Nothobranchius furzeri: one gene and its partner. The protein of the gene in region 1 purifies or fractionates together with the protein of each later gene. This does not show direct contact. Links are inferred from orthologs where the notes say so. Each region holds a gene or a part of one and is shown in the gene's direction. Other genes may lie near its edges.

Region 1 (7,773 bases):
ACGTCACCAGAACATAATCAACCGCAACACAATAAAAGCAGTGTTATACAAAATGGAAAACCTGTAGTGTTTATTCTCTTACAGTACCAATTAATCAAATTTTTTGAGGAATTTATTAGAGATTTTTTGGTTTTTATTAACTGTGCAATAGAAAAATAATCATTAGATTAATTGTGTAGTCATTCGAATTGTCGACTAGTCGATAAAATAATTGTCAGAATAATCGTTTTAAAAATAATCGTTTACCCCCAGCCCTATGATTACGGTTACACAGGACATACCAAAATTCTGTGTTTCAGAAAACTAAAATATTGAGAAAAAGCAAAATACTGGAAACTCTTGGTGTCCCACCCTACTCAGCAAATTAAGTCAAACACTTGCAAAGAGTTCCTGAGCCTCTAAATCAGGGGTTCGTCGCCTGTATGTTCTAGGTATTTCCCTGCTGCCACACACCCGACTTGACAAGCTTTGCTTAAAAGCTATTGATGTCATTCGGAGAAGATAATGCAAACTTCAGGTGCACTGAAGAAGAGACATTGAAAACATGTGGGACAGCGGATCCAGGTTGAGAAGCCCTGGTCTCACTCTGGGTCAGTAGGCTACAGCCATGGAGGGCCATGGGGGCTGGACACATCCCAAAGACAGTAGTTGTGTCCGCAAGATCCGGAAGCCACAAAAGGTCCCTTCCAACGGTGTGGTGATACGTGTGACTTAATAAAAACAATGCAAGGATCAATTCATGTGTGAGAGGTTTTGAATAAAACTTGACTAATAAAATAACAAACCACACAGTGACGTCAAAGGTGGGTGTCCCCCTCACCTCTTCGGACCTCAACATAACTGTATCCACCTCTGGGGGCAACACCTAAGAACTCGCTAAACAAACAGTTAAAAAAGTTTAAACCACCACGTGAAACCTGGTGTAGATGTTTCTTTAAGCTAACGTGTTGTTTCAAACTGCAGCGTGTTTGTGCTCTGAACAGTAGTGGAGTTTGGACCAATGACCTCATAAAACACACATTTTTCGTGACGAGGCTGAAGTTAGCTTCCGATTCCAGATTCCAATTTGGGAAACGGCTAAAGGGCGATTACACCCAATTTTTCTCTACTCTGCTCTAGCTGAAAAACTACAACAGCCATACTGTTCAAACCTGTTCTTGAATATTCTACAATAATAGCAGATGGCATACAACCTTGTTTGGGATTTGTAAAACCTTTCCCTGATTTGTGAAACTTCAACAAAGCCTGATTTATGCGTTTTTTCAGCATCTGGTCAACAATGGAACAGCTGTAGCTCAAAAACTACAACAGCCACACTGTCCAAACCTGTTCTAGATTATTCTACTATAACAGTGTGGCTGTTGTAGTTTTTCAGCTAGAGCAGATGGTCAGAGTAGAGAAAAAAGAAGCTGAAATCGGAAGCTATCTTCAGACTCGTTTTTTCGTGCTTCTACGATGGAAATATTCCCTCTGCACTGAACACCGACTCCTGACCATCGACATCTATACTCTTGACAAGTTAAAGGTACAAACGTTGGGCCACCGCTCCGTGACATTTCTACGCATTTAGAGCAACAAGTAGGCTTGTGTCCAGCCTGTCCGATAACTCTTACCCTGTTGTAGTGGACTTCAGGCTGGCTGTTGGGCGCTGGGATGGCGCTGCTATAGTGACAGACTGACAGTCGGTTGAGGGGAAGAAAAGCTCGATAAAAAACTGCACGAAGCATGATGTTTTCATGCGCAGCTCTACGAGCAACAACCAGGAACTGGGCTTTACGCGTGCTTGTGTCTTTTTCAGGTCGTCAGCGCTGACGCTCTGCTGCCCCCTAAAGGCCAAGCCACTACACTGACTGACTGACTGACTGACTGAATGAATGAATGAATTAATTAAGTAATTAATTAAGTAATTAATTAAGTAATTAAAAATTACTTAGACTATGCAGTGTTTGTACAATTTTGAGCCTTAGGTCAGAGTAGCTAGTGTTATCCAAATGGAAATGGACCAAAGCCTAAACTGAGTCTTGCCCATCACAAGTTGCTACACAGCATCTGAGTTGTGTATGGTAAAATCTGACGAACGACCGAAAAAAAGGAACTTTGAACACTTCGAGCAAAAGGGGCAGGTGCTCACGACGCCTATCAAGAAGGATGTTGTGGTCCACAGATGGAGCATCACCAGAGCAGATGTTTTGCCTGAATCCTGTATTGAGACCAAACTCATTTAAATCCTTAATCAGTGCCATCTCAGTGCTGCAGTGTTGTCTAAAGTCGAACTGGAAACCAACCAGCAAGTTTTCTGTCTCCAAAAAGTTGTTCAGCTGGATCATAACTGTTTTTCAGTAATTTCCCCAAAGAGGAGATTATTGGTCTGTAGTTATTCAACACTAAATGATCTAATTTTCTTCTAGAAGAGACTTAACAGCAGTTTTCAAGGATTTATAAAAATACCTGACAGCAATTAACACTTTTCAGTACATCAGCTTTTAAGCAACTAAAACATTTTTAAGTTACCGGTAGTTGGCAGGTCAAGTAATAGGTCAAGTGCCTCGGTGCTGCAGATTCCAGATTTTCATATATTTTTCATCAGTATGTTTTTGAACCTAAACCAGTCTCTTGAACCTAAACCAGTCTCATAGTGGGTCAATGTTTCACCAGTTTGCCCACCAATGGCCGTACAAGATCACTAGAAACACTTATTCTTTTGTTGTTTTTGTCAAAGCGGTAAGGTGCCGGTCACCCTCCAGACCGCTAGGTGGAGTTAGTGCACGTACAGTTTTAGGCGGACTGCCATAAAACCGCAAAGTAGAAAACACGTTTTGAGCATGTGCACGTACGCACGCTGCTTGATCTGAACGCTGCATTCGGGAGAAAAACATAAGAATCTTAATTTTTGATCGGGTTAAGGCTGTTTTCTGGGCAACATGAGACCAGGTAGAGTACCCGTGCTTGTTACAATGACGAGTTGGACTTGTTCAACTCATGGTTTTTATTTGTCTTTACGGGCCTGGTTTGGATCGTGTGTGTGTGTGTGTCTGGCTACAGCGCCCTGCATGTCCGGGAACATTATCATGGAACGTTACCGTTCTCAGTGTTCAAGCATTAAGAAACGAATGGCTAGGATCTTAAGTGAGCTCAAGAGACACAACTGTGTTGTTAGATCAAACAATTAGACCGTATATTATCATTGTTAGTTGTAAACGGCTAAGGCACGTGCTACGGACTCACCGAAGTACGCGAGCAAAACACAGGAAAGTAAAACTTTAGTGCATCAACTCAGAAAACACGAACTGTACAACTCGTGTGTGTGGCTAGCGCGTCACCAACAGAGGAAGCTGATATTTATCAGCATGAAGAACATTAAATCCTAAACCCTTGAATGGTGAAGCCACTTTCCTCATCTAGAGGTTCCTTTGCAGCAGAGTTGAGTTTTTGCTGTTACAAAGGTTAAAGTAAAGTTCAGATTTATGGATTTTTAAGTTTAGAAAACATAAATCAATAGTTTAAAAACCTCTCTGGGTAAAATATTTTAATTGGTCTTTTTGAGATAAACTTTTAAAGATTTATTTCCAGAAAAAAACAAGTTGTCCTCAGAGGGAGATGATTGCTTTACTGTCAGTGACAAGTAAACAAGTACTATTGGCCCATATAAAAGTACAATGACATCATTTAGAGACCACTGTCTCCTGTTTAAATGTGTCTGATGTGTCCTTCTGTTTAAGGTTTTCGTGGGGACAGAGGAGGAAGAGGAGGTGGGGGACGAGGACGAGGGGGTTTTGGTGATCGTGGAGGACGTGGGGGGTTTGGTGATCGTGGAGGACGTGGAGGAAGAGGTGAGGATGCTGTCGAAGGCACAAATGTGTTAATTTTAACACCTGTGAGCTTGTTTAAACAGAAGCTAGCTCCTCTTCACCTCAGTAGGCGGGCTCTGATTGGTTCTCTCACCTAGTCTGAGTGGTCTTATGTCTGTTACTCGCATCTTTCCCGTCTTTTGAATGGGTTTTTGTCCTCGCCATCTTTAATATAATCTTTTATTTGTTCAAAAATGTCTGATCAATTTAGTCATTTATCCAAGATTTTTTGCTTCATTTAGTCCACAAAAATGTTTTGACAAAATAATTCACCTCAGTGATAGTTGATGTTAAACGTATTTCCTACTCATAAATGCAGCACAGATTCCAATGAGACATTTTGTTTTTCAGGTGGGGGGTTTCGGTCCCCTGATGGTGGAGGATTTAGAGGGAGAGGAGGCGGCCGAGGCACTCCTAGAGGAAGAGGAGGTAGGGGTGGTGGCAGGGGCTTTGGAGGAGGGAAGAAGGTCTTGATTGAGCCACACAGACACGAAGGTTTGTATTTCTGCTTTGTGATCGAACAATCCAATATTTATCTTGCACGTTAGTTAGCGATTGCTGGTCTAGAATGACCTAGTCCAGATGTGAAAACTAAGGATTGTAGTTTTAAAATTAGAGCAGGGTAAATGAGGCTCAGGGTGTCCTAAAAATCAGTTTTCTGAATCAGGAGCTAGAAATGGAAACCAGCTTCAGCTTTGTTCAGTGCTGTAGGATCATAGCTATACATTTACTTATCTGTTTTGCCCGTTGAGAATTGGCTGTATGTTTAGTCTAGTGGTGGAGTGTGTGCAGGAATGAGTAGCAGCAGCCACGGCTCCTCTTTAAGCTATGGGTAATGGTTTTAGATGTGAATTCCAGAAGTACTTGACTTCCATTCTTACCTAGAAAGTTGTAAAACCCATCGTGTGGCCAAATCCTTGCCTGCAGAGAAGACTGAGCCGGCTTCTCCATGTAGAACCATAAGGGGTGTTTCTTGATGTCAAGGCGCCTGGCCTCGAAAGGCGATGTCTGGCTAGGGCAGACGCCTTTGCTTACGAGGACACAGTCCTTCTTTGGTCAAAGAAAATGGTTAAATAGAACAGACTTGCATCATGTGACTGCAGGTGAAATGTCTTTGGAGGCGGCTTATGGTAGAGAAGTGGACATTCACTTCATGGGAAACAGCTCTAGTAGACATTCCTGCAGTCAGCATTCCAATTGCTCGCTCCCTCAAGGGTTGTGACATCGGTGGCGTTGTTTTGTTTGATCAAACTGCACATGGCAGGGTGTCCTTTTATTGTGGGCAGTAGGGATGCACCGATAGATCGGCATTTGATCGTAATCGGCCGATAGCGCCCCTATCGGTTTTGATCGGAATTTTCAAAATAGATCAAAGCAGACCGATCAGCCGTAGGGATATCACGGTAACCAGTGTAGCATTAAACCCCGGTTAAAAAAAAGTTGACAATAATAACCGTCTTGTTTTTTAAAAAACTATATTATCTTGGTGGGTTTACCGTAGCTGCGGTGTAGGCGCGGTGACCCTTACCAGCCACCGTATCATCGGCTGAAGTTGCCGGCGGCACATGCGCGCTTTGCTGTTTACAACCAAAACTTTCTTGAAGCTAAAGCTGAAATAATGGCCAAAGGAGGAGACGGCAGCGCTCAGGAGGACATTTATTATCCCTCAAAGAACGCAAAGTCGGAAGTACGGGCATATTTTAGATATTTGAAGAATGCCGAGGGAGTTTATAGAAGACGGATGGCTATCCTGTTTGCAGCACGTGCAGAAAAAGTGTCTGTGAAAGGCAGCAACGCCTCGGAGAGAGACCAACTCTTATCTGCCCCTGGGAGCCCCGTAATGCATAGCATTATTTCAACATGGCGGTGTCCGCGACACGGTTTATATGCAGGTAGCGGCACTGCGGCTGCTTTATATAGCGACTCGTTGCATTCTCCCTCAACCCAAATCCTCGGATCACGCATTTTAGCTAAAACGCTAACGTTAGCTTGCCTTACGTTGACTGTAGAGTTGTGGGTGATGGTCACGCAGATGTGTCATGAGATTTGAAGCGTTGCTGCCTTTCACAGACACTTTTTCTGCACGTGCTGCAAACAGGATAGCCGTCTTCTATCAACTGTCCCTCGGCATTCTTCAAATATCAAAAAAATGCCCGTACTTCCCACTTTGTCTTCTTTGAGGGATAATAAATGTCCTGAGCACTGCCGTCTCCTCCTTTGGCCATTATTTCAGCTTTAGCTTCAAGAAAGTTTTGGTTGTAGACAACAAAGCGCGCATGTGCCGCCGGCAACATCAGCAGATGATACGGTGGCTGGTAAGGGTCACCGCACCTACACCGCAGCCACGGTAATCCACCGAGATAATATACTTTTTAAAAAACAAGACGGTTATTATTATTGCCAACTTTTTTTACCGGGGTTTACCGCTACACCGGTTACCGTGACAACCCTAATTGAGAAACGCCCTAGGTAGTTGGCTAATGCTGGTAGCATGTTGGGCCCTTCCCTTGCTGAAATGATTCACCACAACAGTAGCTGTTGTATGTGGAGCGAGTAAGCTAGAGAGTGTTTGAGCTCTAACTTGTGTGTTTTTTGTCAGGAGTGTTTATCTGCCGAGGGAAGGAGGATGCTCTGGTGACCAAGAATATGGTTGTAGGAGAGTCTGTCTATGGGGAGAAGAGGATGAGTGTGGAGGTGAGAGAGAAGTTTTGTCTGGATTGCATCACTAATCGCTTTTCCTTACAATGATAACGGCTGGGTGTCCATCCTTTAGGAAGGGGAGACGAAGATTGAGTACAGAGCATGGAATCCTTTCCGCTCAAAGTTGGCTGCTGCCATCTTGGGAGGAATTGACCAGATCCATATCAAACCTGGAGCCAAGGTCATGTATCTGGGCGCTGCCTCTGGTACCACTGTGTCTCACGTGTCTGACATCGTAGGTCCGGTAAGTTCAACACTCAGTGCGACGCAACTAATGGTGTGTTGTGTGTGTGTGTGTTTACAACAGTTGTCAAATACAGACCTTGACCAAAATGTATTTATGTGTGCACTAGGGTTGGGCGATGGGACGAATTATTCGACCATCGACGATGGCTTGAGCCATTAGTTGTTTTTTTTACAAGAGGTGATTTGTTTATTTGGCCTCGAGTAAGTTTGTAGCACGTTACGCACAGAGAACATCGCAGAGCTAACAATCAAGAAAAGTTTTCCTGCAGCACACATGAGCATTATCTCACATTTTCTCTACATTTGCAGGTGTGGAAACTTTTAACTGCCTGAGCGCCATTGGCGGTAAATGTTCTTGTCGAGCAGTAAATAATTGACGACTTACCGCCCGGGTGGTGCCCAAGCTTTGTTTGTCATTTTTACCGGCGTTCACCTCCCCCTGTGTCCACACGTTTGGGATACATCGTGGCCGTGCCCTGGGGGTGCAACCAACATTGATCCGCAATCCGTTCAGATCTCGCTCTACGGTTGGGCGCGGTTCGCAGATCGGCCACGTGAAGGGCGGAGGCACTACCTGTTCCATTTAAAGGAGAAACGCTTGAAGAGGAGAGGAGCTTGAAATACCTCCTGCATCATTTAGGTTGCATGTATGGGAGAATTTTGACTCCCTGTAAAACACAATGATGATACAAACGGCAAGAATTTACACACGCACGCTCCTGCAGTCTGACGGCTCAGTAGCCTGCAGGTACAGTGTGTGTCACACACTCCAGTTAATGCAAGAGTGCAGAGGTGTGGACTCAAGTCACATGACTTGGACTCGAGTCATTATTTTAATGACTTCTGACTTGACTTGATAAAATCTATAAAGACTTACAACTTGACTCAGACTTGAACACCAGTGACTTGCGACTTGAATCTACTTGCATCTATTGACTTGATGATGACTTGAGCATATTAAATATTTTAGCACAAAAGT
Region 2 (7,862 bases), on another chromosome or scaffold:
ATAATCAGAAAAAATTAATTGAAAAAATAGATTTTCAGTGTTCCACAACTTTAATCACGCTAAACCAAGTGGAACACAAAAAGCGGGACACCATCTACTCTTTCTAATGCTTTGTGATCGTTTCAGTGTGTGTGTGTGTGTGTGTGTGTGTGTGTGTGTGTGTGTGTGTGTGTGTGTGTGTGTGTGTGTGTGTGTGTGTGTGTGTGTGTGTGTGTGTGTACTGTAGGAGAAATAAAAAGAGCCACCTATCTGAGAGCTCTGTGCAGCGCGAGCCTTGTCCAGCTTCATTCTGGGTGTGAGCTCAGACACCTCCCACGGACGGAACTCTGGAGCTGTTGTCACGTTTATCAGCAACTCCATCACCGTATCGCTGCAGAACGATAGAAAGATGGAGGAAAAAGCTCAAGGTTTGTAAGGGAGAGTTACTATTAAGTTTATTATTATTATGTTTATTCATTTAGCAGACGCTTTTATCCAAAGCGACTTACAATTTATAACCTATAGAGCATGTTGTGATCTGTGGGGGAAACTGGAGTACCCGGAGGAAACCCACGCATGCATGGGGAGAACACGCAACTCCACGCAGAAAGGCTGCAGCCGAGTTTCAAACCTGCAACCTTCGTGCTGCGAGGCAACAGTGCTAACAACGGCGCCGCCATGCAGCCATTTACCAGTTACATTTTAAAAATATAGCCATTCCCATCACAAGTGCCTGTTTAAGCACTTACATGTCGTCTCTCAAGCAGTCCACAGTGTACACCATATTCTCTCTGGACGAAGTCACGCTGCACAGAAACATGAAAATATTCACAGTGAGCACTTGTGAAAGCCTCAACTTTTCTACATCAGTTTTTAGGAGGTCATTTCTGACCTCATGCTGCCTCCAACTGCCTCGATAGCATGGCAGATTTTGAACGCAGATGCTCCCTTGGTTGTCTGTAAAATGAAAAAAAGCAGACTGCTATCAAAACGAGACAAATGTCAAAGTCTTAAAATACAGGAGAGAATTAAAAAGGCTTAAATGTTACATTTCTTAATAATAATAAAGATTTTGCAGCCCAGAAGGCTGATGAGGACAACAACTACTGTAAGCTGTACTGAACTGTCGTACCAGATTGGAGGCCAGCCTGAGGAGGTGGGTGACGCCCAGGTTGTCAGAGGTCTCATAGCGACAGCCGGCTTTAACAAAGACACCAATTTTTGAGGCTGGGGAATAATTCTCAAGTGATGCAATCACCAGCCCACTGGGCAGTTTGGTTACCTGGACATAAACACACGTGTGAGCGGCGTCACACAACAGACAATCAGCATGAAAGGCTTGTCCAAGATCCAGGGACCTCATTTATCAACCGAAGGAAGGAATATAGGAATATTTCTACAAATGTTTAATGAATGAGACCCCAGTTTAATTACATGCAGCTGGACAAAAAATAAATAAATAAATAAAAAATAGGTAAACGGTTAAAGCAGAAAATAAACAGATTAGTTTATACCATCACACCTAAACCTACATCAGCTACTCACCTGAACATCTTGTGGCTGAAACCCAGTGGCTTCCACCTTACGGGCTGCCTGGGCTGCATACAGCCTCGTCTGGAGAAACACAACACAACAAAACAACTAAAGCCATGCTGCTTTGAAGCAAGGGCACTAGAAATGAGTTTTAACAAGGAGTGTTCACCTCTTCAAGGGTAATATTATACTGTACAAACACAGGACCAAGGTTCCTCTACATTTACCAAAATCAAATGCAAGCATCTTCAAGGTGACATTTCAATGTTTTAAAGCACCTTATGTTGATGACAATTCACAATCTATAACTGCTCTAAACAATTAATTTGCATCTTTATCACATATTTACGGGTTATTGTACAAAAACTAGTTGTATTTACTGTTGAAATACAATCAGTTTATAGAAAACACGCTTTAGATTTATCATTATCAGATTCCTCATTGCCAGATTATAATCCAAACCAGTAGACGATGGACATCAGGAGACAGCCACTGATGCTGGTAAATCTTTTAAGGCACCAATGACTGTCCATCTTTAATTTCACATTGAACCAACTTTAAAGAGAGATAACCCACCCTGAATAAGTGTGTGTTTTGTGTGTCCCCGAGTGAATGAACAGTTGGGATTTCCTTTTTGTTAATTGCATGTTTTAAAATGTGCTTTTGTCGTACAAAGATTGAAGGTTTCTTTCCAAATGAAAATCACTTGATAATTTTAGTCTTCATTCACCGATCCAGATATGTATTTGAGTGAGATACACACACCTAGAGTTAAGCCTTCTGAAAAATGCTAAAGCTACTACGTACCCTCTGGTATGCTAACTAGCCTAGCTAGCTGCTAGTTGTTAATTATCTTACATTTAAACAATTGAGGAGTCAGTCATTAGAGCCTAACACAGTGGAGATTAATTCATGATCATATACATACATGTCTAGAAAAATAGTTATTCTTGGTCACATCAAGTTTTCAGATTAAACAGTCATGTCAAGCTTAGCCGGCTGCTTGTTCCAAGACAAGACAGGTATGGTTTAAAACCACCCAAAGACAGTTAGTGACAGCGACTGGATGGGATGGGAACACTGATCCCGTCACGCAAACTTTCAGAACAAATAAAGTCAGCTCTCACCGTTAACTGACTGATTCCCCGAATCCCCTTCATCTCTCCTGTCTCCTTCAGCCAGGACAACGATACAATATGGCTGAATGGAAAGTGCCCTACCCAGAATGCATAGCGCGTTCATCTCTAGCTTGCATAAACCGCGCGCCCTCTTCAGACCAACAAATAAACTGCATCAACAATTTTTCCAGATCTAAAATCACAAAAAACAAAGAGTTCGAGAACAGCAAATGGGAAATATGAATCAAATTGATTGTGTGTGGAAAATAATTGGCAAATTAAATCTGATTAGATCGTGACACTGATTAATATTTTGCATTTACATAATTAGTAATTCTATAATTAACTTTCCATCATCATCATCATCATCATCATCATCATCATCATCATCATCATCATCATCATCATCATCTTTATAAAGCATTTTCCCACAACTAATAGTCACAGTCCACAATTTAGAAAAAAAAACGACTTCATGAAAGCCCACAAACGCCTCAGGTTTAAAACGAAAACGGGTTCAAAGATAAAAAGTCTAAACCTTCTTTCATATTTTTGTTTTTTTTATTAAAGGTTTATAAGATATCCCCTCGACATTTACAGTGTCATAAAGCAATACACACCATGATACACACTCGAAAGCTGTTTTAAAATAACTTTATTTGAACTTTAGAAAGTATTTTTCAGTTTGTTCATGTTGTTTGTTAATAAAGTTTGTTTTGAAAAAATTACATTCCCTGTGCGCATGTGCAGCCTGACGACCATCACACACGTGGGGTCAACGTTTGGATCTAGTGCATGCTGCAGATAATAGTCGTTTTGTGGCGCTATTAAAACTCGAATGAAACAAGAATAATTCACGTTTCGATTGTATTTATATTCTGAAGACAAATCAAATAGTCCTCCGTGAAGCATTTCGCCGAGAGGGCCGGATTACAAAAATGGTGAGCTTAGTGTAAGAGCTAATAGGCTAACAGACGGGCTTGCATGTAGCATGAATAAGAACACACGGTTGTGCGCTTTCTTAAAATAAGATAATGTGATTTTTGTTAAAGCTGGTTTGTTCTGTTGAAGCTTATTTTGAACCTTCTCATTTTTGTGACCAGAGTGAGCCCCAAGTGAACCCAAAGGCCTACCCTCTGGCCGACGCCACCCTGACCAAAACCATCCTGGACCTGGTGCAGCAAGCCTCCAACTACAAGCAGCTGAGGAAGGGAGCTAACGAAGGTGTGGAAACTATTCGGCTATTTTACTCAACATTTATAACAGAATTTGTAACGAAACAAACGTAGAAGGTGAAAATTTTGCTTTTACATGTAATTATTGGATCATAGGCCGTGTTCTCACTGCTGACTCAATGGTCGAACCAGAATTTCTTTCTCAGATGTGACCCACTTCTGCTTTTTATGACCCACATCTGCTTTTAATGACGTTCACAACACATATTCGTCATAATTATCAAGTTAGACCTGGGTCCCTTTCATATGTAATACTTTAAATCTGAATTTTACATCGACATGTGACAGATGTTCCTATCCTGCGGCAGAGGAAGCAGGAAGCTCTTCTTTACATGTGCGTGTCTGCAGCGCTGTACACTTGCCTCACTGGAGGCTGATGGCAGCTGCATTATCAAAAATTAGAATGGCGCATTAAGACCAATCCATCTATTTTCTTCAGTTTATCCGGGGTCGTGTCACGGCAGCTGCAGTCTACGTCGAGAGGCTTATACTTCCCTCTCCTCAGCCACTTGGGCCAGCTCCTCCCGCAGAATCCCAAGGTCTCCCCTGGTCAGCCATGACATATACAGTGCCTTAACATGCACACTAGAGAACCAAAGTATTGCCCTAAAAAGACTTCTGTAGTTTTTTAAAATGCATATAACGCGTTAGTCTGGCTGAAAGGGAATTGGTTCTAATCTAGTTCAAATGATAATGATAAATGACCCGCACTTGTGTAGCGCCTCTCAGAGTAAGGACTCCAAAGCGCTTTACTCTACAGTGTGTAATTCATCCATTAACACACACATTCACACACTGATGGTGATTAGCTACGATGTAGCCGCAGCTGCCCTGGGTGCACTGTCAGAGGCGAGGCACCCAGATAATACAGTAGCAAGGAAGCGCTGTTGAACGACGGGCGCTTTGTCCCTGTTAACCTATGCTCTCAGTCACATCAGCTGGGAAGCGCCACAAAGGCTCGCTCCGTGCAGCGATCATTTTGGCGTGAGCTCTATTTTTACGTGAGCCGTGAGTGAACAATTCTGGCAGGAAGTAAACTAAAGCAGAAGAGGCAGGCTGGTAAATTTAACAAAAAAAAAATTCACAATAAAACACTGCAATTGATAAAAGTGATCATGTTTGTGTATCTAAATAGACTAGAGAGATGAAAAGGAACAAACACACACCTGCAGAAAAACGTAGTGTTACCATAATTTAAAATTCAGTGTTTACAGCAAAAGATGGATTTAATAAATGTGAATACAAACAAATGCACAGCAGCAGAATCAGCACAGTGTCCAATATCAACAAGCAAGGCAAACTGGTTACACACACACACACACACAGAGCAAGGGCATGTTTAGAAAACAGTAGGCGTGAGCAGAAGTGCTCGTTGAAAATTCTCGCCTGATGTGACCAGAAGAGGAGCGGAGAGCGCACAAATTTTGTGAGCAATCCACTCCGCGGTTCTTCGCAGCTGGTGTGTTCTGGGCATAAGTCTCCTCCCAATTGGACGTGCTTCTCTCAATGTGGAGGAGCAGCGGATCTACTCCGAGCCCCTCCTGTATGACCAAGCTTCTCACCCTATCTCTAAGGGAGAGCCCAGACACCTAGTGGAAAAAACTCATTTTGGCTGCTTGTATCCACAATCTCATTCTTTGGGTCAATACCCAAAGCTGGTGACCATAGGTGAGGGTAGGAACGTAAATCGAAAGCTTCGCCTTATGGCTCAGCTCTCTTCTCACCATGGCAGACGGTACAATGTCCGCATCTCTGCAGACTAGGGCTGGGCAATAAATCGAAAATGTATCGTTATCAAATTTTCTGACTTATCGAGATAATTTTCCCATGTCAAGATGTGTGTAGGTTGTCAACGTTCATGTCCCTTTAAGAAGCTGTACCACCTCGTAAAAGTATGACTCAATGTAAAACATGTGACAGCCCCATCTAGTGGACAACTTTTGTTTCTGCGCATTCCTGTAGTTATCGTCCGTTTATCGTTATCGAGGTGAAATCCTCATCGTGATATTGATTTTAGGCCATATTGCCCAGCCCTACTGCAGATGCATCACCAATCCACATGTCGACCTCATGCTCACTCGTGAACAAGACCCAGAGACACTTAAACTCCTGTACTTGAGAGAGGACCTCATCCCTGACCCGGAGAAGGCATTCTACCCTCTTCCGACTCAAGACCATGGTCGCTGACATAGAGGAGCTGATTCTTATCCCAGCTGCTTCAAACTCTGCTGCAGACTGCTCCAGTGAAAGCTGGACATCACGTTCTGATGAAACTAACAGGACCACATCATCTGCAAAAAACGGAGACTCAATCCTTCGGCCACCAAAACAGATCTCCTCCACACCTTGGCTGCGCCTAGAAATCTTGTCCACAAAAGTTATGAACAGAACGGGTGACAAAGGGCAGCCTTTAAGACTTACAATGTCATTTTAGTATTTTACATTATCAAACGCAGTCTACTAAAATAATGCCATATTTCTCAAATATGTGGCTTTTGGGTTGTTTTTAAACAATTCTGCATATACAAATGCTAAAAGATAGGGATGTGTATTGGTGAAATTCTGGCGATACGATACTTATCACGATACAGGGGAGACAATATATCACGATATATTGCGATATATTCAGCCGGAAAATATTAGCGATTTTTTTAGACTAAAATTATTGTAGGAAAATTCAATAAATGGCCCAAACTGATACTTAACATGATTAACATGAGGTATCTGAACCAAAATAGAGGGATTTACATTTCAGTGGTGGAAACAAACTCCATTCACACTACTGCTGACTAGCGGACGGCATTTGATTTGCACCAAAAGAAAAGAAAATACATAAATGTTTGCACGTAAATTCTTCCAAAAAAAATCGATACACAGCTTTTGAACATCGATATAATATCACAGGAAAAAATATTGTGATATATTGCTATTTCGATATTTTCTTACATTCCTACTAAAAGATAAATCATCCATAAGCTTAACTTCTCTGTAGTCTTGATTTACACACATTAATGTATTTCTTTTGTTTCCTCAGCCACTAAGACTTTAAACCGAGGCATTGCTGAGTTTATAGTCATGGCTGCTGACGCTGAACCGCTGGAGATCATCCTCCACCTGCCACTTCTCTGCGAGGACAAGAACGTGCCGTATGTGTTTGTCCGCTCCAAGCAGGCGCTGGGCCGAGCCTGTGGGGTGTCGCGCCCCGTCATTGCTACCTCTGTCACCATAAAGGAGGGCTCTCAGCTCAAGCCACAGATTCAGTCTGTTCAGATGGCTATTGAGAGACTGCTGGTGTGATTTCTAAGCACTGTTTCAACAGCAGCTCAGCTGGGTTGATGCATCCACAATTCCATCTTATTTTATGTTTGGTAAAAGAAAAAAAAAGTGCTAATCAAATGGATATTTTGTTTGCTTTTTTAAGTTGATTTTAGTTTTCACTTTGCACAGCCATCACCTGTTTAATAAAGTCATTCTTTTTAAATCTTTATTTGACTGTGAGCAGCCTTGTGAAACATCAGTTTAAGAGTTTTAGTACTGTGCAGCAAAATCTGATTTTCTACATAATTTAGCAGAAATGTGAGAAAACCTAAAGGTTGAATATGGAACAGGAACACCAAGGTAACATTTAGTGTATGGAGATTGTAGTGTAGTGTAGTATTAGGTTGGCTGCCGACATGTGAAATGATTTATTTGGGGCTATCTAGGGCAATAAATCAAAAATTTATCGTCATTGAAATTTCTGACTTAACGAGATAATTTTTCACATTTCAATACATTTGATAATTAAAAAAATGAAAAAAAGAAAATAAGAATCCGCACACTTCAATCTGCGATGTAAGAGGTCTCTGACCGAAAGCTTGACCAATAAACTCTTACATCGCAGATAGAAATGTGCGGATTCTTATTTTGTTTTTTCCACTTTTTGATCCAGCTCCTTTCCTAGACGAGCGGTGACTCCTACTATAATTGAAAAAATGAAAATATGTCTGTAGGTTAG

What was found.
Region 2: the proteins of fbl (region 1) and snu13b purify together in Homo sapiens (affinity purification with mass spectrometry; 5 studies listed by BioGRID and IntAct, with this or other methods). This does not show direct contact. The link is inferred for Nothobranchius furzeri from reciprocal best matches to the Homo sapiens genes FBL and SNU13.

Annotation. Positions count from the first base shown.
Region 1 is NC_091745.1:58,449,193-58,456,965, forward strand, and holds the start of fbl (rRNA 2'-O-methyltransferase fibrillarin), read left to right. Parts: upstream 1-2,801; 5' UTR 2,802-2,921; coding exon 2,922-2,931; intron 2,932-3,719; coding exon 3,720-3,830; intron 3,831-4,199; coding exon 4,200-4,343; intron 4,344-6,447; coding exon 6,448-6,542; intron 6,543-6,621; coding exon 6,622-6,792; intron 6,793-7,773.
Region 2 is NC_091756.1:29,117,021-29,124,882, forward strand, and holds snu13b (NHP2-like protein 1), read left to right. Parts: upstream 1-3,390; 5' UTR 3,391-3,568; coding exon 3,569-3,571; intron 3,572-3,733; coding exon 3,734-3,854; intron 3,855-6,899; coding exon 6,900-7,162; 3' UTR 7,163-7,352; downstream 7,353-7,862. Other genes in the region: uqcrc2b (cytochrome b-c1 complex subunit 2, mitochondrial), read right to left, coding at 246-370, 729-785, 872-936, 1,112-1,261, 1,525-1,593, 2,640-2,672.